5 linked regions of the Oryctolagus cuniculus genome follow. The protein of the gene in region 1 interacts with the protein of each later gene in a pairwise test. Links are inferred from orthologs where the notes say so. Each region holds a gene or a part of one and is shown in the gene's direction. Other genes may lie near its edges. The genes, in order: STX4, BET1, CYBRD1, VAMP4 and NAPB.

Region 1 (3,337 bases):
ACGCAGCCGCGCTGGCTGGCATTTGGCTGGTCTGCCTTCAGTGATGACTGTGCGCCAGCCCTGAGCTGTTCAGATAGAGCAGTGAACCTGGGAATAAGCAAAGGGCGTGAGGACGGAGGAAGCGTTAAGGAGAAAAGAGCCAGGCGCGGGAGAGGGATGGAGAGGGTTGCGGGAGGCAAGGTAGCACCTTAAGGGTGGGAGCGGTGAGTGTTGTACAGGAGGGAGGGCTCAGCAGAAGAGGGGGAAGTCCGAAAGGGGACAGGGACAGGGACAGATCACCTAAGGCCACCTGGGCTCTCGTAGTGGTCTTGCCTTTTCCTCGGACAAATGGGGACGCCTTCAAGGTCATCCCAAGGTGGCCGATGCCGCAGGCAGCTTGGAGAAGCTCCTGTCGTGTGCGCAGTGGGATGCCCAGGCCCAGGTGGGGCGGGGGTCCTTCCCGGGGTGCCCAGCCTGTGCTCTCTCCACCCTCAGCATGGGGTGCTGTCGCAGCAATTCGTGGAACTCATCAACAAGTGCAACTCGATGCAGTCCGAATACCGGGAGAAGAACGTGGAGCGGATTCGGAGGCAACTCAAGATCAGTGAGTTGCAGACGCCCAGTCCACAGGGTCAGGTCACCCCCTGCCCCAGCTCTGAGCCTGGCCTCTCCCTTCACAGCCAATGCTGGGGCGGTGTCCGACGAGGAACTGGAGCAGATGCTGGACAGCGGGCAGAGCGAAGTGTTTGTGTCCAATGTGAGTGGCCATCACCCTCGTCCCTGATGAAGGGGCTGCCCCAGAGAAACCCCCTCTGGCCTGCCGCTGGTGTCCCACCCCGCGCTGCCGTGACCTGTCCGCTCATACCCACTCTCCCTCAGATCCTAAAGGACACCCAGGTGACCCGGCAGGCCCTCAATGAGATCTCCGCCCGGCACAGTGAGATCCAGCAGCTCGAACGCAGCATCCGTGAGCTCCATGACATCTTCACTTTCCTGGCTACCGAGGTGGAAATGCAGGTGAGCCCACGCAGCTTCCCCGGGATGGGAGACGCTGCTCAGGCGGAAGCCCTGGCCGGCCGTGACCGCCAGCCCCCCTCCGCCTCTCAGCCGCTGTCCCCAAGGCTTTGTACCCAGCCCTGGCTTTGCTGCGCTACTGCAGCTCCTAGGGGAGCCGGCGTCTGTGGTGCTGTAGCCAGTGCCACTTCTGCCGCTGGGAGGCAGGGGAGGGCATCTCATTCAGGAGGAGCAGCAGGACCTGCAGGCTGGTGGTGCCAGGAGGAGCTGGGGGAGGGGCGGCTGCACAGCAGCCGGGAGACAGGCCTGGAAGAATGGCTGAATTCAGGGGCCAGAGTTCACCATCTGAAGAAAAAGGTATGAACCCGTGGAGCACACGGCCACAAGCCGCCCCTGCACATACGGGGGGTGCTTGCAAGAAGGCATGGAAAATGGAATTGAGAAAGTTTCTCTGGGGTGCAAAAAAAAAATCTTGAAATCATGTATAGGAGGGATCTTCAAAAAGTGACTGGCCAATGCACGTTAGGAGAAATCTGTGCTTGGATTCCAAATTTGGGGCACCAAAATAAACTCTTATTTTCTTTAAAAAAAAAAAAGAGAGATTTATTTATTTATTTGCGAGGCAAAGACAGAGAGAGGGAGAGAGAGAGAGAGAGGTCTTCCATATGCTGGTTCACTCCCCAAATGGCCGCAACGGCTGGAGCAGAGCTGATCCGGAGCCAGGAGCCAGGAGCTTCTTCCAGGTCTCCCACGCAGGTGCAGGGGCCCAAGCACTTGAGCCTCTTCTGCTTTCCCAGGCCACAGCAGAGAGCTGGATTGGAAGCGGAGCAGCCGGGACTTGGAACCGGTGCCCATATGGCATGCCAGAGCTTCAGGCCAGGGCGTTGACCCGCTGCGCCACAGCACTGGATCCCCGAAAACAAGCTCTTAATTTGCCTTCTGCAGGCGTTTGGATGTCACCTTATGGGGGCAAGGGAAGCGGGGAGATAGGACCACGTGATAGAAGGGATCCCGGAACCATCCCAAGATTCTGAGCCTGGGTCACTTCTGGAGCTGCCTCTGTTGGGGGCAGTTTTTGTTTTGTTTCCGTGGGCCTGGGAGATGCGTCAGTCATTGCCGGGTGGCATGGGCAAAGGCGCAGCTGGCCTCCCCGTCCCCAGCCCCGCTGTGCCCAGGCATCGCTCCCTCTCTGAGCCACCTCATCCCGCGAGCAGGGGGAGATGATCAACCGGATCGAGAAGAACATCCTGAGCTCCGCGGACTACGTGGAACGCGGGCAGGAGCACGTCAAGATCGCCCTGGAGAACCAGAAGAAAGCGAGGAAGGTGAGCCCCCCGCCCCGCCCCGGGCGCAGGCGCCCCACTCGGTCGTCCCTGACCCTCTTGTCTCCCACAGAAGAAAGTCCTCATTGCCATCTGTGTGTCCGTCACGGTCCTCATCCTGGCCGTCATCATCGGCGTGACCATAGCGGTGGGCTAGAGTTGTACATTTTCGGTGAGACCTCCTGGCCCCTCCCCCGCCCCGCCCCCTCCCCAGCCTTCCCTCCTCCCCTCAGACCCTCCTCCCCCTCCTTCCCTTGCAGGCACCGGAAGCTCCAGGGACCCAGGTCCTGGCCTTGTCTCCCTGCAGCACAGAGCCCCCAGTGAGGACCCCCACTCCACCCGGCGCCCTCGGGCCCCTGTACAGCGGTGGCAGGCGGTTCTTCTTGGGTCAGCAGCTGCTCGTCCGTGGGGCCCCCCCTCCCCTTCGAGCTACAGTGCCTGGGCGAGGGAGGGTCTGCCTTGTCCTGTTTGACTGGGACACATGGTTTTGTAAAAAATTAAAAAGAGAGAAAAACGAGCGAGCGAGCTTGGATTGGAGACCCTTGTTGCTGGCGAGCTGGCCCAGCCTCTCCCCACCTGCTGGCCACCCCTGGGGCCAGGCCAGGCCCAGACAGGCCCAGGTCAGGCTGCCCTAGGTGCCGTGCCCACAGCGAGGTACTCCTGCTTTTTCCCTGGGGAAGGACCGCTGAGCACCTAGCCCTGAAGCCATGAGGAGGAGCCAGGTATTTCAAGAAGGAAGGGAAGGGGCTGGCAGGCAGAGGCCCCAGCCCCAGGTCTCGTGATCAGAAGAAATCACTGCTGTTTATGGAAGAGTTCAGCTAACAGAGCCGGTGAGCCCGGGTTAGCGCACCTGGAGGCGCAGGTAGAGGCAGAGGCACCTGAGCCCTGGTTTCCTTGTTGTTGTTGTGTTTTTTTTTTTTTTTTTTAAGATTTATTTATTTATTTGAAAGGCAGAGTTACACAGAGAGAGGAGAGGCAGAGAGAGTTTTCCATCCGCTGGTTCACTCTAATTGGCTGCAACG
Region 2 (4,158 bases), on another chromosome or scaffold:
CCAAAAGATAGATAAACATTGGCATGTATTCCTTACCCTTGAATCTCAATTGGATCTCACATCCTATTGCCTTCATACCCCACTCCCACAGCCACCTGAAAGACCAGTTGCTGGAACACTTGAAAGACCAGTTCCGGGAATTCCCCTCCACCTGCTGCTCCCTAATCCCACCCCCGCCTCTAGCCCTCCTAAAATATAAACAGGCCAGGACCCCCAGGACGGGGGGTCAGGGCCTCCTGCCACGTGTTCCATCAATGTGCAGGAGGGCAGTTGGTCATTCACCTCTTCTAATTTATTTTCTCTGAATAAATTCAGTCTGGCTGTAAATTCATTCACTGCCTCCTCTCTATTCTGCACCTCTTTTCCTAACATTTATGGTGCCCCGTGTGAGGAGGCACCAATCTGCAACTCTTTTCCTAACAATTATAAAAACTTATTTTTGTGTTTTAAGAAAGCAACTTTAAGGCAGAAACTGAAGTCACAGCTACATCACTGTCACAATGGGAAACCGAGGAAACAGGACATGATGAAGATTCAGAGACCTCTAGCCGGGAGACCATTACCTTGTCACACATCAGCAACATCAGAACGCAAACACCAGCGGACTCCGAGCATTTCCTGCGTCCCAGATGTCTTCAAAAACCATTGCTGCAGAGTCTCCTCAGGGTACCTCATCCTGTGAGATAACACGAAATTCTCACTTGACCCAGGCAGCAGCACCAACACACTCCTCACCACACCCTACCCCAAGCACTGAAAAACCCCAGTCGGCACATTGCTATATGTAAGGCAGTATTCAGCACCACGTGTCTAAGGGATTCAGGCGTGCTCCCTAACCCCAACGATGCTTCTAGAAGGGAGCCGAGGGAGCAGCAGGGAGCCGGCTCGCTGGGGGCTCCGAGAGACCCCTGCTGCCTTAGCCCAGCACGAGTCTCCCCCCCTGAGTGTGACCAAGCACAAATCAGTTAGCCTCTGCTGCCCCGCCAGTGGGTCTCGGACTACTTGTTTGCAAGACGAGAAACTTGGACGAAGTTCTCTCAGACTTCCCTGAACTAACTCTGCAGGTAACAGTGAGTACCAGTATGAATCAGGAAAGGTAAGTCAACCACCTCTCGTGGGCCGGGAGAAGCTGAGCTATTGTGTTAAATGTAGGGACCTGTAGGCAGCTAATCCCACGGCCCTAGCATACGGGGTCACGGTACCGAACAGCGAGTTTCAGGGTCCGGAACAGGAAGCCAAAGCGGATGTCGCCCCTCTTCCGGAAGTCCCGCCCACTCCAGGAAGCGAGTCCCCATCGCTCCTCCAGCCATGCCCTTTACGACAACAGCGAACTACTTTTCCCAGAATGCCATTCAACTCTCCTCGCGGAGCACCAATGGGCGCCCGGGTTGACGCCATCAGTCGGCGCGGTGTACCAGGCTTCAGTGATGTCGTGGCGCTTGGGGTGAAGAAGTTGGTGCTTCGCGGCGCCCTGGGACTGAAGACGCGGTCCGGGTGACCTCTGGCCCTTTCCTAACTTCTCTACCCCCGCCTGCCTTTTTCCTCCCTCTTCTGGCGGGATGAGGCGTGCAGGCCTGGGTAAGAAGAGGTCCGAGGTGCGAAGTGGGGAGCCCCAGAGCCGGCCTTGGTCGGCGCGGGAGAAAATCGCCCTGGTGTCCTGTCACTCGGCATCTGGTCCAGAAACGGCGTGTGTGGAGGGGAGCCATGCAGGCGGTGCCTAGTGGAAGCACGTCATTTGTCCTAGATCTTACGGGGGTATCCTTAGGTTTGGTCTCCGGACCCGAGTCTTGGAGAGTAGCATAGGACTGGGGTGCGGTATATGCAGGTGCCAGCTCAGTCGTCGGACTGTGTGCTGTGTGGTGGCCTGGCCTCTCTGCTGTTTCTGCTTTCCTGCTGCCTCTGCCTCTTAGAAGGGAGATACGAAGAGTGGGGTTGCATGCTAAGCGCTTCCACAGTGATTATGTGAGTCGGCTAGCAGTGAGTGACAAAGGTACATGTACACGTCGTTACCTTACAGGCCTTGGGGTGTAAGGTCGGGGTCAAAGGCAGTGTGCCTGGAGCATTTCTTATCTGAACCTCTTCCACTGGTTAGCAGCTGTCGGGACTACCTCTTATGGTTCTGAAGCTCTGTACTAGGAGATGGTTAAACACGAGGAGGAGGAGGAGAAAGACGAGAAAGAACCCTGCTCTATCAGTGCAGCGTGATTGAGAATATATGTGAGCATTGGCGAAAGATGACTGTCTCTGCCAGCCGTGGTAATAACTTGGCAAAAACGAAAACAGGGCTTACGAAAAGTGTCAACTTTAAGGTCAATGAAAGTTGTCAGTGTGTCAGTGTTCTTTCTTAGTGCAGTTTTTGTGAATCTGGTTGGAGAAAGCCAGGTAAATTGAAGACAGAAAAGAATGTTGATCAAGTTTAGTTTTCACCAGCCTATGTGTTTTCTCAGTGTCTTTAGGTTGTATACCTGAATGAGCTCTAGCTATATAGTTGTTTTGTTACTTTCTTGGTGCTCCCCACAGCTGGGAAGTAGGAAAATGTGCAAAGGTAAATTATGGTACAAGGTGGCAGCTATACATCCAAACACAAGATAATGTTCTGCAGATAATGTCTCAGAAATTGCAGAGATGGTGACCTTGAAGTAGACCATGAATAATGAAGTTAGGAAAGATGAGTTTCAGGTGAGAGGATCACTAAAAAAGAAAAGAAAAAACAAAGAGCATAGAACTAGGATTATGTAGCTAAGGAATTATGACTCAACCAATTTGATTGAACCAAGAAACATGAGACCACATTGTGGAGATTGCATTATAGGCCAAGGAGTTTAGATTTCCTAAATTGCCCTTGAGGCCCACTTATTTTTTGCACTGCACTCTCCCTGGTTAAGTTGCAGGAAGGGGACTTGAGAAGTAATTGTTCTCAGTCCTGATAGCACATCGATTAAGGAACTGTTGCTATAATTTACATTGTTATGAAGTGACGGTTTTTTTTAAAAAAACTTGAAGTGCCAGTGTGAAATGACCTGCAATTTTAGATTTGGAATAATAATGAATTTGATAGATATTCATGTGAAGAATATTTGTGTTGGTGGATGATGTTTTTTGCTTTTTTTTTTTTTTTTCAAATATTTATTTATTTGACAGGCAGGGTGACAGATCTTTTGTTTGCTAGTTTACTCCCCAGATGGCCTCAACAGCTAAAACTGGGCTAAACTAAAGCCAGGAGTCAGGAACTCCATCTGGGTCTCCTACATGGATGGCAGTTTGGCTCCTCCCCCACTGCCTTTCCAGCCACATTAGTAGGGAGCTGCTTTGGGAGCAGAGTAGCCAGGACTTGAACAGGCATCTGATAAGGGATGCCCAGCATGGCAAGCAGTGGCCTAATTTGCTACACCATGAGTCCATCCCTGGGGGAGGGTGATAGCTGAGAGAAGATAAAACTCTAATAGAAATATGCACTGAAAGATTTCCAGACAAGAAATAAAATGAGAATTTCATTTTAAATAGATGGAACAGGGACAGGTATTTGACCTAAGTAGTTAAGCCACTGGTTGGGGCAACTTTGTTGAAATGCTTGGTTTCTTGTCCCGGCTCTGCCGCCAGTTCCAGCTTCCTGCCAGCGCAAACCCTGGGAAGGTAGCAGGTGACTGCTTGAGTAGTTGGGTCCCTGGCATCCTTGGGGGAGCCCTGGATCTAGTCTCCAGTTCTTGACTTCCGCCTGGCTCAGCCCTGCTGTTCATTTGGGGGCACAGACTGGCCTAAGGGAGCTCTCTGTCTCTTTGCTTCTCAAAATTTTTTTAATGAATAAATGAAGCAATATAAAAGAAATCTAAAACTAAAATTAATGTATGTGAAAAGACCCAAACAAAGGACATATAGTAAGTAGCTATTCATTTAGAACTTGAAGAAGTTCTAGAATTTCTTGAAGTTACAAAGTGATTGAATCCAACCAGTCAGTAATTACTTATTGGGCAATGTTATATACTTTGGCTCTTAAACATATAAAATAAGTAGAAGATGTTTCCATTTCCTTAAGGATGTTGATCATTATTATAGATTGCACAGACTATTCATTAATAAAGTTGCATTTTTCAAGACAATGATTTTAGTTGTTGAGTGGGGGGAAAATGAGCCCAGTCTTTAAATTCATAACACATTAGC
Region 3 (3,975 bases), on another chromosome or scaffold:
GTTAAGTAACTGTGATATGCCAAGGTGGAATAAAGTGATAAAGTGGACAGTTAACGCCTGTAGGGGGGCAGTCTGGAGAGTGGAGAGGGCCAGACAAGCAGATCATTATGTTACATTCTGGTAGGTGATGCAGAGAGGTCTTGGGTGCGAAGGTAGGGTGTAAAATAGGAACATGGCAAACGTCCTAGCTTCCTGTCTGAAGAGAGGTCAGCAAATATAGAGGAAGGGAAGTGGGTAGGGAGCGGTGTACAGGCAAGGACATCCAGAGCGTCAGGTCAGGTCCTGAGAAAGGACTGAGTAGAGGGCTGGGCTGGGGGAAGGGATCTTTGCCTTCCATTTGCTTACTCTCCTGCTTTGGGGGGTAGGGAGGATAATGGCACAGGTGAAGTCTGCAGTCTCCTATCCCTCCATCCTGCCCCACTACCCCGGCTGGACGCCTGTACTGCTTTGGTCTAAAATCTCTATGGAAAATCACCCAGACATACGTGGGCACATTCTAAGGTCTCCGAATGCATTCTGGAAGCCCCGCTAAGGAGGACAGGCTCCTGGTCCAGAGCACAGGGTGACGGGCACGCTAGGAAGAAGGCAGAGACCCAGGTTCACTTCATCAAGGCGAGGCTGGGAGTCCGACTGGTCGGGGTGTGTGGGCGCTTCTGTGGCTATTTCTGTGGCACTCTCCATGGGAGGCCAGGGGCCAGGAGGTGCCAGTCTGCCCTCTCTCCCCAGCAAACTGCGAGCCTGGCCAAGCCCAGACCGCCCCGCAGCCTCCTCCCGCAGGAACCCTGGCACCAGAACACTACACACGCACGACCCCACCCGGGGGATCCCCGTATCTGACGTCCAAAAGAGCGTGCCTGAGCCCCTGCCCCCGCGGGGCTTTGGGCAGGGATCCAGTAAGAGGGCGTAAGGTCCTCGGCGCCCTCCCGACACTACCAATTTGGGGCGACGCGAGCCCTGGGCCAGGCGGCACGCGGGCGAGGGGCGGTGCAGCGCCATCCCGGGGGTGGGGCGCGCGGGTGGACACGGGCTAGGGGCGCGCACCCCCGGGAGGCCCGCGCAGGGGCCCCGGCCGAGAAAGCCCCTCCCCGGGGGCGGAGACAGCAAGCGAGAGTCGCCGCCCGGGGCCTGCCGCCGGGACCAAAAGGCAGCGGCGGCGCGGAGCATGGGGCTGTGATGGCCATGGAGGGCTACAGGGGCTTCCTGGTGCTGCTGGTGTCGGCGCTGCTTGTCGGCTTCCTGTCGGTGATCTTCACCCTCATCTGGGTCCTACACTACCGCGAGGGGCTCGGCTGGGACGGAGGCGCGCTCGAGTTTAACTGGCACCCGGTGCTCTTGGTCACTGGCTTCATCTTCATCCAGGGCATCGGTACTGAGCACCTCCTGGCGGGGTGGGGGGGGGACGGCGGGGCCGGGGGTGTGTGGGGTGCTCTTAGGTCTGGGTGTGCGCGGCCAGCGGTAGGAAAGCGTGGAGACGTCCGCGACCGCACGAAGGGAGCGGCGGGGAGCGCCCCGAGGGCACCTGTAAGGCGCGGCCTGGCACTGAACTTGCTTGCGGGCTGCAAATTTCGAGGCTGCGGCAGCGGGCGAAAATGGAGGAGCTAGAATTTGCTTCGAGGGCGACCTCCGCAGCCGCGGGGAAGGGTCTGGTCAGCCGAACGGCGCGCTCCGTCGAGCCGGGGGCCGCTGCCCTGCCCGGCCATGGGACAGTCTGGAACCGAGCTTGTTGATGTGGCGGCCGCCTGGCGAAAGCTCTTCCGTGGGGCTTTCTGTTGGGCGCTTGTCCCGAATGCGGGGTGGGAGCCGCCCGGAGCAGGCCCGCGGCTGCGCGGCCGTCCCGGGCTGGCCTGCCTTCCCGGGAATGCGGTTGGCGCTGGCCAGGGGCGTCGGTGTGGATCGCGGTTGTGTCGTGCCCGGGGTCCCGAGGGTTTTCTTTTCCTGTTTGGCCTCTAGCTGGTGGCGCAGGCAGCATTTGTGTGCGGCCACTTTCCAGAGAGCGAAGTCCAGGCTGTGATCTTGAGAGAGTATAGAGGAAACGGGGTCGTGCGTGGAAAATCGTCAAGCGTTTGGAAGCGCCGCCCACCCTGCCTTGTCCGCACCAGTATTTAACGCTCCACGAACAGCAACAGAAGCGCTGTCCTCCTTCCTAAAGGAAAGCGGTGGTTTTTGTTTTTCCCGTTGCACACTTGGCCCCAGCCGTAGGCGAGTGTGGCCTGTGTGCTCCCACTCCGGGAGGCGCTGGGGGACGCTGCCGGGCCTCAGGCCAGCCCAGGCTGTCCTGGTGCGAGCTTGGCATCAGGCCTCCAAGTGATCCCACTGCACAATTCCCGACTGTTTTGCCCCAGCACAAGAATGAGAAAAACACGCTCAAGTTCCATAGTCACTGGCATCAGAAGCACTTTTGGGCCGTGCGCAGCCCTGGGGTTGGTCCAGAGCTGGCCACGCCTGTTGTCTCACAGAAGAAGGAGCCGTCTCTCTCCTTTAACTTCTCCGAGCAGCTCCTAATACCCACGCACTTTTCAGAGGTTTTGAAGTGTACTCTCGTGGAGTAAGGGAAGCACAGGTGATACCACGGTTGCCTGACTCAGCAAAGAGGACTTAAGTCACAAAACACGTGGTGCTCCCTGAGTGCTTTCTGGGTCACTACTAAGTGCATTCTCTGCAGGTGTCTGTGGGGCGCCGGGGCAGAGTAACCTATCAGTAACCTATCTGTGGAAGTAGCCGGTTCTCAGTGGCCTTAACTTTCAAGGTTCATTTCTCTGCTTTTTTTGGCAATAGGCTTGTTTCCTGTAAAATCTTGTTAGGGAAGCAAAAAGCTTCACCTAAAATGTGCTTTGAAGCCTCTTCTTTCACGTGAGAGGCTATTGCACAGTTCTCCTTGAAGGTCTTCTCCTTTCTCAATTTTGGGCTTGTCTTAATGTGCTTAGCCTTTGGGGCAAATTGTGTAAATGGATATTTGGGGATTTTTATCTGCTCCTCTTAAGCAAGCCTGTTTTCTTTACCTTTTGTGCTAATGTTCCAGCGGCCCCCCTGTTTACTGTTCAGGTTGAGGATTTGTGGAGCACTCTGGTCACTCACGTCATCATACATTTAGTTGAGAGTGACATGAGATGTTGGTATGTGTAGACATAGGCGTAGGCCTCCCGTATCTGGGCCACACACACGCCTCACTCAAGCCGTAGGAAGGCTTCAGTGGTGCTTTCCTACATACTGAAAAGATGACATTGTCCCAAGAGCCAAACTACATGGGAATCTGAAAAGGAGCAGTAAATACAGATGTTTCCCAATTTACTGTGGGGTCCCGTCCTAATAAACGCACCATAAATTCAAAATTCCAAGTATGGTTTCCATTGAATGCACTCCATTGTAAGGATGAAAAATTGTAAGTGGAACCGTTGCTGAGTAGGTGCTAGGTGGAGGTGATGGGCTGTGAGGGAGACACACGTTACAGATCAGCCACGACAGAACAGCATTTCTACTGTGTGCAGCTACTTCAGGGAGGATCATGTTAGGCGGTGAGATTTCACAGGTCCCATACTGAACTCACGTGATGTGGAGTTCTTCTCTCCAGTAGTGCACAAATATTTGGAGGCGAGGAAAGGAAAGCTAAAGTTTAGTTATCACTCTAAGCAAAGAATGGTTTATAAATGCAATGTATCAACAGTGAACTGTATTTGAAACTGTGAGGATAAGTATGGTTCTTCTGAAACGTGCTGAAGAAAGCAAGGCTACCATAGAAGTTATATAATCTCCCTGTCTCTCTGACTCTGTCTCTGTCTCTCTCTGTCTCCCTGTCTCTCTCCCTCTCGTCTTCTCTCTCTCTCTCTCTCTCTCTCTCTCCCTCTGCCTTCCTCCCGACCTTCCCTCCCTCCCTCCCTCTCCACGTACAGCCATGCTCCAAGTGCATTTTGGAAAATGGATGTATTGTAAAATACAGTGTAGCACACTATAGGAAATCTAACACTAAAATACAATGTT
Region 4 (4,085 bases), on another chromosome or scaffold:
GAAAGAAAACAGGGGAGGAAATAATATAATTCAGGTTGGCTGGAGTCCTGACTCTAAATTCAGTGTTATTTATCATCTTTCAGGTTTACTGGCATATTGGATTCATGGTAACTGTAAAACGACATTTTCTAAGTTTTCACACATGTTAGGGAAATCAAAGGGACTTTGTTCAAGTGATTAAAGGTGAAGTTTGTATTTTCCCTCCCGTAAGCAATCATACCAAAAAGACTGGCAGATCCTTTTGGTTAAAAGACTAAGAGGCCAACGCAGTGGCGCAGTAGCTTGAGCCACCACTTAGGATGCTGACCACCTGTATCAGAGCACTGGTTGGAGCTTCCTAGCTGACTCCCAGCTAACTTACATAGGAAAGCAGCAGAAAATGGCCCAAGTACTTGGGCCCTGCCACCCACGTGAGAGACCAGGAAAGAGAACCCAGCCCCTGACTTCGGGCTAGACCAGACCTGGCTGTTAGAGCCATTTGGGGAGTGAACCTGTACAAGGAAGCTCTCTTTCTCTGTGTCTCTTCCTCTGTCTCTGACATTCTTACTTACAAGTCAAAGCATTTTTTAAAAATCTAAAAAAAAAAAAAAAAAAAAACTAAGAAAAAGAATAGATTACTCACAAATAGTACAGACACAAAATCACTTCAGAGAAGAACTAATTTCTGGGTTATCCGTGGAGGCTGGGACAGAAACTACAAGAGGCTTCCATTCCAGATGGACCACTTTTGTCCTCATCAGTAGCGAACTCCAGCTCTTGAGGGAGCCCAACCCCACTGCTCGCAGTCTGTGAACATAGCAAACTAAATCAGAATCTGAGTAGTGCCCGGGCACCAGTAGTTTCACAAGCCTTCCGGATACGGCAACTCCAGGGGCAAGCCTTAGCGGCGCCTTTTCAATTAGTGCATTAAGTCAACCACACAGAAACAGCAGCAGCATGTAAGAGCGTGTCTACTTCCTCCTCTCCCTGCGTGTCCCTTGGTCCTCTAAGCCACCTTCCTCTTCCCATTCGACTTCCTCAGCCTGGGGACGGATCTCGCACAAGCACCACCTAAAGGTCTTACCGACCCCAGTCACGAAGCTCCGAGCCCCACCCTAAGCTACTTCTCAGCGGCTCCGACACCGCTCCCCTCGCGCCCACCACGCACGCCTGATGCGCGCCAGCACCTCGAGAACCACTGTTCCTCCTCAAAACACAGCATAGCTTGGGTATCCAGATCTCAGACGGCTGGAAGGCCAGAGGTTCTTCGGGGTTAGACGCAGCGGGCGGAATCGACTCCCTCGGCGATCGCCGCGCCCTGGGCTGCCCCCTCCGCCTGCAGCCAGGCCGCGGAGCGCCGATCGGCTCGATGAGCGGGGGCGCAGCTGCGGCGCAGCGGCCGACGCCGGGTCCGCGCCCACTGTCTCCCCCTCCCAGCCTTTTCCCTCGGCTTCCCGCTCCTTCCCCCGCCCGCCCAGCGCCGCCCGCTCGGGAGAGCTGCCGGGAGCTCCCCGGGAGCCTCAGGTACTGGCGCCGGCCTCTTCCCGGCGGGAGGGGCTGGTGTGAGGAGGCAGGAAAGGAAGACGACGCCCCTGCCCCACGGCCCCCCAACGTCCGGGTCGGGCTAGGCGGGCAGGGGTCTAGGGGCCGGGGGCCGAGGAGCCCTGAGAGGGAAGGGGTTGGGGCCGGGGTCGGTGACGGGGTGTGCGGATGGGGGGCGGTTGTGGAGACTGGAGGTGAGGGGTGCGCTGGGGAGATGGGAAGAGAAGGGTGCGTGGATGAGGAAGATTTGTTCAGAGCGGGAGGTAGCTGGGGTGAGTGGGTGTCAGGGGCAGGATGGGCCCGAGTTAGCAGACGTGGGGGTCCGTGGCCTGGTGCGATCGCTGGAGTAAGGGGAGCTGCCTGTTGGAGGCTATGGAAATGGTGCTTTAAGGAAGGGCTGGGGCGAAAACACCAGCCCGTGTACGTTTCTAACCCCGGAAGGCGGGGGTCGGGCAGTACACTTGACAGGTTGTATGAATAACATCTCCAGTGTGTCCAGCCAAGTCTCTATTTCTGAGAGAGGGCAACCAAAGCTGCTGAGAGATGGGAAAGAGAAGTCAGAAAGGGATTGGAGGCTGGGAAAAGGAAGGCTGCTCAAATTCCAGCTTTTGTGAACTGAAAAACATAAATGGTGTGTGTGTGTGTTTGGTTTTCTTTGGAAAGCAAAAAGTCAGCATTTATTAAGCAGCAGATTAGAAGGTTATTACATATAAAGCCACGGAATAGAGAACACACTACAAAAATGCGTACATGAGGTTTTTTACCTGTGATGATGATGTAAGAAGTATAAAGTGTTGTGACATTTTTAAAGTGAATTGTGGAGTGGTGCCTGTCCTCAGTGTGGCAATACATAATGGTGGCTGCCTCATTTACATACAAACACCTAAATTCACAGGTATTTTTGTAGGAGAAATCTTAGGCAGAATATGTACGAATCCAATAGCTGAGCGTGGTTTATTTCTACTAGTTTGATACAAATATCTGTTGCCTTGTGACTCCTCAAGCATAGCTAATTAATCTTCCTTCTGGCTTTTCTGTTTGTCAGACATGATTTCTTGACTTTGTGAGGTTGATTCTTGGAGAATGGGACCTCGAAGGGGGTTTGCTCATCATTAAGATCTTATCTTTAGGTCTCATAAAGGCATTTTACAAGTCTTGCTTTGGGGCTGCTGAGGCAGCCTCTTTGTAGGGTTTAAAATATAAACAAACACATGAGAAAAGCTCAAGTTTCTCAGTTATTTGCTTTGTCATCTGTTTTTCCATGCATTCTGCAACATTCCTGCATGGATGAATTATTTGGAAATTGAAATATGGGGAATAAATGGACAGGACGTATGTGACAAAAACTGTGAATTGAAGAACTCTGGAACTGTTACTTAGGTGGCAACACTGGTTTATGTGACAAGTGGTTGAGTTTCTAACTTGGAAACATTTCTTTTCAGTATTTTTTTTATAGGAAGCTGGCTCAAAATATTTATTACCTTTATTAGGTCTTTGAACCTATACCCTGGTCCTTTTTCTTTCTTCAGTGCCCAACATTAGCTAACAAACTAATGCCTAACAATACCTAATTTAAAGATCTTAAATTCTTATGAAGAGGGAACAGGGCTCCTGGATTATCATGGGAAAATGTGTTTTCCAGGACAGAAATGTGTAACCTAATTGAGTAAATATTGGAGCTAATTATGGGGGCAGGCATTTAGCATAGTGGTTAAGACACTGGTTAAGATGCTTGCATCCCACATTTGAGTGCCTGAGTTCCATTCCTGGCTCCAGCTCCTGGTGTCAACTTCTTGCTAATGCACACTCTGGGAGGCAGCAGAGATGGCTGAAATGATTGGGTTCCTGCCACACATGTGGGAGACGTGGATTGAGTTTCAGGCTCCTGGCATCAGCTGGTAGGGGACCATCGTGGACATTTTGTGAGCAAGTAGCTGGGAACATGTTCTCTCTCTCTCTGTCTCCCTTCCTCCCTCCCTCTCAAATAAGCAAAGAAAGCTGATAATGCACAGCTGTCGAGCAATTTAGGTTTATGTCTCTGCTATTTCAATGACTGAAATGACAAACACTGTTATTTGTATTTACTAAGCCTTATTTTTTCTCTCAGTTTCTTAGTGCCTACTTCAAAAGAGTATCAAAGATTAAAAGAGAAAAATGCATGTGTATGGCTGAGTGCAAGGTGCAGCCCATAGTAAATAACATTCAGTACATCTTAGCTATTCTGAATTGCTGTATATTCACCCATCAAGTTCAAAATGCTGAAAATTCATATTTGCATAGGACAGCTTTTTCTGCCAGAAAATTTTAATTATATTGCATACTCAAGCATATTCCTAGAAAGTTACTATGCATGTTAACATGTAAGGGGCTGAGATGGTTCTGTAGCAAAGACTGGAGCTACTTACCTCAGTTCTGATATAAGGAAAACAAACACAGCTTTTTTTTTTTTTTTTTTTTTTTTTTTTTTTTTTTTTTTTTACTGTCTCATGACACAGAACACTTTTGTGACCCTAGAATTGGGGGGGGGGGGGGCAAACAATTCTTTCATAGATTATCTGGTGGAC
Region 5 (3,513 bases), on another chromosome or scaffold:
GAGGAGAGAGACAACATGCACCAGGAACATCTATCTGAAGGAACACCTGTGCAGCCCCCGAGAGAGCCGGCCGGCGGTGTGCCGCTCCCCCGCGGAAGTGGGGAAGGTGGCAGGGGGAACCGCCCTTCCACGGAGGTGGAAGGGACGGTAGCCAACCCGGGAAGAACCAGCAGCAAACCTGGGAAAGGCCGAACAGACAAAAGAACAGTGCAGGGTCCTGTGTCGTTCCTCCACGAAGAGGGGGAGCGACACCTCTGTCTTTGTCTCCTTCTCTCTATCTATAATTCTGCCTCTCAAATAAATAAATTAATCTTTAAGAAAAAAAAAGAGCAATCTTCTCTTTCCTTTTTCTCTGATACCTTTATCACCATTAAGCAAAACAAATAAATAATAGTGTTTTATTTTTGAAAGATTTATTTATTTATTTGAAAGGCAGAGCTACAGAGAGGCAGAGGCAGAGCCCATCAGAGCTGGCCTCAGCCTATCAGCTGTTCAGCCAGCTGGTGTGTTCCTAAACTGCCACTTGGTGGTTGGCTGCTGCCCCAGGTACCCCTGTTGCCTGCCCATTACCCTGGCAGAGTCTCTGCCACTCCTTGGGACCACCTGCCTCTTTACAGGCCAGCCATGGTCTCCAGCTCCAGCCCCATAGCCAGTGTCCACTCTGACTAGCCAGTGCCAACCTTAGTCTCTTGTTAATTGCCATAACAAAATACCTTAGGCTGAGTATTGAGTAAACGGTGAAAACTTGCTGCTCACAGTCTGGGGTCTGGGCGGTCCAAGATCCAGGCGCCAGCAGATGCCGTGTCTGGAAGGGCTGCAGTGCAGGAGCAGGGCCGCGCAGCAGCCGCTTGCGTAAGGGCACGGTCCTCCTCCCAGAGGGCCCCTCCTGATGCCCTCGTCCAGATTGCAGCAGTGCCCATGTCACGCTGCACTCACGTGTTTCCACAGCTGCCTGGGCACTCTTCATTGGAGCAGGAACTGAGTGCAGGTCAGGTAGCCACAGAGTGTGCTCACCCTTGCGTGAAGGTTGAGAAGCCTACGGGGGAGTCAGTGGCTGCCTCTGGGGAGGGCTTGGGACAGGGGTCACAGGTGGAGCTTTGGTGGGATTGGGTGCAGAGTCTGTCCTTTCCCGTTGGGGGTTGCCTGTTCCAGACCTTCCTGAGCTGGAGGCACTTCAGGCGTCCCTACCGCAGGGGACTTGCTGCCGGAGGTGGGGAGGCCCTCCCTGAAAGGCCGGGTGCAGCTTCAGCTGTTGTCCCACTGGCCTCCTGCAGGCAGGACAGGCCTGTCACCATGTTCCCATGATGCCTCTCTCAGGGGTCCCTTCCCTCCCTCTTCGGCCACAGAATCTGTGCCCCTGAGGCAGAGTTTGCTCTGAACAGACTCTGTACATTTGTCACAGGCTGTGTCCCAGCAGGGATCTGGGTATTATTTATAGCCACACCTGTCAGGGTGCTCCAGGAAGAGCACAACTTCTAACCCTGCCTGGTACAGAGCAGGCCATACCTGTGCATAAGTTTCTATCAGGTTTTGCTATACACTAGAGGAAAAACTGAATTTTTAGGCTTTTTTATTTTAAGATTCAAAATTGTAGGCCTCATTTTCAGTCTTTAAGAAACTCTCTCCTTAGAGCCTGTCTTAGCAACTTCAGCAATGACAGCTAAGCACAGTGGACGTGGCAAGATAGAAAAGGAGCCGCCAGCACCCTCGCTCTGGGTGTGTTGCCTTTGCTTAGTCACTTTGCAGCTGGAAGGCCCGAGGGTGTGTCCTTTACGTGTTTGCCGAGTAGAATTGAACAGCCCAGAGCCTGGCTGTTCGGGAGGCTGCGTGCCCAGGGCTGGGACGGGAAGGTCAGGCTGCTGTTGTGTGCACCTGGGTGCACTTGACCAAGGTTCTCAGGTGGGAATGCTGCTTTTTAGTGAGGTCCAGCACCTCAGGTGGGGGCCGCTCTGCAGGAATTCATTAATTACGTATGAATCATTGTGGTCGTTGCTTCTTCTGATTGATTGATTGATTGATTGATTGATTGTGGTCTTCTCTTGTTCAGCTGCAGGAAACGCGTTCTGTCAGGCGGCCAAGCTGCACATGCAGCTGCAGAGCAAGCATGACTCTGCCACCAGCTTTGTGGACGCCGGAAACGCTTACAAAAAGGCAGACCCTCAAGGTGAGGCCGCCGGGCACGGGCACACAGCCGACCGTCGGGGGCGCTGACTGGGCCACCGTGCCTCCCGCCTCCAGGCCCGCGTGGGGTCCCTTCCAGTCCTAGTAGAGGAATTTTTGTGTGTTGAAATGATAGTGACTCTTGGGTAAGGATAGCGATTTTTCCTGGTGGAGACTTCGGAGGCTTCTGTGAACAGAAAACGGTTGAAATGTGTCCTGGTGCATCTCGTATCCTGGTGGTTTAGTTGTCAGCACCGTTTTTCCTCTAAGCCACTTGATGTTGCATTTTGGAAATTTATCTAAGCCTTCTTCCATCTTGACTTTATGAACTATGTTACTGATCACAAAAGGCAACTAAGGGCCCCCTTCCATGTGCCTGGTGGATTTTAGGAGCCAGTCAGTGTGAGATTGTGATATCTGTGGTTCAAAACACCTTTTGTTCACACTGTAGTCATTTTTTTAAATGTTTTTTCCACATATTGGTTTTGAGGAAATAATGGAATTGGATATTTAGCATTTTGCAAGTTTCTTTCTTTTTTAGTTGGAAGTGTGCATTAGCAATTAACAGCATTGATTTCTTCCCTCTGGCACACTGCATGGATAGCACTGCGTCTGTTTTTTTCTTTTAGTGGTACTTTCTGTTTGACACAGAAACCCCAACTTTTATGACTATGTCATATAGAAATAAGATATCTTCGAGGGCTTTTTTTATACACAGATAAGTCACAGTTTATTTCTCTAATGACAAACTGGACACAGACCGTGTGAGCAGTGGGAGTAGCCAGAGGGACTCACAGTGTGTCCACCTGTTAGCATACAATACAGGCGTCACAATGCCTGGTGGAAGAGACTCTTCCCGGGACCCAGTCAGCATTCGCGTGGTCATGATACACCGCGCGATACCAAGGGTTGTGTGACCTTGATTGCAGAAAACACACCACACACTTTGGGAGGAAAGGTGCGTCCGCTGCGATGGCGGGCTTCTGTGCAAGCGGGGACAGGCTGCCGTTCTGGTCGTTGTCTATTTGTAAAGTGCAGCGGCGAGTCCACTCTTTAAAATACAGTTTGGGAGGAGATTGCTTTTCATCTTTGCTGATCTGTTTATCTTCATGATTCTTCGGTCAGGCCTTTTCACATCGCTGCCTCTTTCAAACCAAAAGCAGTTGCCCTGGAGCCGTCAGCCATGTGCAGCATTATACATACCAGCGTTTTGGGTCAGGGCTGTGTGCTGGCTCCCCACTTTGGGAAGTAGCGTTGGCACTCGCTGGGGTTCTCCCCTTCCTCTGTAGATGTGTTGGGACAGGACAGGCAGCACCCCGGACGTGGGACGCTGGCTCTGCTGCACTTGTTCCA

What was found.
Region 2: the proteins of STX4 (region 1) and BET1 interact in binary tests that used the Homo sapiens proteins (3 or more experiments, as listed by UniProt). The two-hybrid records come from large-scale screens. The link is inferred for Oryctolagus cuniculus from reciprocal best matches to the Homo sapiens genes STX4 and BET1.
Region 3: the proteins of STX4 (region 1) and CYBRD1 interact in binary tests that used the Homo sapiens proteins (3 or more experiments, as listed by UniProt). The two-hybrid records come from large-scale screens. The link is inferred for Oryctolagus cuniculus from reciprocal best matches to the Homo sapiens genes STX4 and CYBRD1.
Region 4: the proteins of STX4 (region 1) and VAMP4 interact in binary tests that used the Homo sapiens proteins (3 or more experiments, as listed by UniProt). The two-hybrid records come from large-scale screens. The link is inferred for Oryctolagus cuniculus from reciprocal best matches to the Homo sapiens genes STX4 and VAMP4.
Region 5: the proteins of STX4 (region 1) and NAPB interact in binary tests that used the Homo sapiens proteins (3 or more experiments, as listed by UniProt). The two-hybrid records come from large-scale screens. The link is inferred for Oryctolagus cuniculus from reciprocal best matches to the Homo sapiens genes STX4 and NAPB.

The regions. Positions count from the first base shown.
Region 1 is NC_091450.1:6,128,861-6,132,197, reverse strand, and holds the end of STX4 (syntaxin-4), read left to right. Parts: intron 1-474; coding exon 475-583; intron 584-659; coding exon 660-736; intron 737-858; coding exon 859-996; intron 997-2,207; coding exon 2,208-2,318; intron 2,319-2,388; coding exon 2,389-2,472; 3' UTR 2,473-2,487; intron 2,488-2,575; 3' UTR 2,576-2,832; downstream 2,833-3,337. UniProt on the Homo sapiens protein: Plasma membrane t-SNARE that mediates docking of transport vesicles. Necessary for the translocation of SLC2A4 from intracellular vesicles to the plasma membrane.
Region 2 is NC_091447.1:41,915,537-41,919,694, forward strand, and holds the start of BET1 (BET1 homolog), read left to right. Parts: upstream 1-1,350; 5' UTR 1,351-1,559; coding exon 1,560-1,578; intron 1,579-4,158. UniProt on the Homo sapiens protein: Required for vesicular transport from the ER to the Golgi complex. Functions as a SNARE involved in the docking process of ER-derived vesicles with the cis-Golgi membrane.
Region 3 is NC_091434.1:69,597,832-69,601,806, reverse strand, and holds the start of CYBRD1 (plasma membrane ascorbate-dependent reductase CYBRD1), read left to right. Parts: upstream 1-1,173; coding exon 1,174-1,366; intron 1,367-3,975. UniProt on the Homo sapiens protein: Plasma membrane reductase that uses cytoplasmic ascorbate as an electron donor to reduce extracellular Fe(3+) into Fe(2+).
Region 4 is NC_091438.1:26,791,309-26,795,393, forward strand, and holds the start of VAMP4 (vesicle-associated membrane protein 4), read left to right. Parts: upstream 1-1,282; 5' UTR 1,283-1,503; intron 1,504-4,085. UniProt on the Homo sapiens protein: Involved in the pathway that functions to remove an inhibitor (probably synaptotagmin-4) of calcium-triggered exocytosis during the maturation of secretory granules.
Region 5 is NC_091442.1:47,609,050-47,612,562, reverse strand, and holds part of NAPB (beta-soluble NSF attachment protein), read left to right. Parts: intron 1-2,047; coding exon 2,048-2,164; intron 2,165-3,513. UniProt on the Homo sapiens protein: Required for vesicular transport between the endoplasmic reticulum and the Golgi apparatus.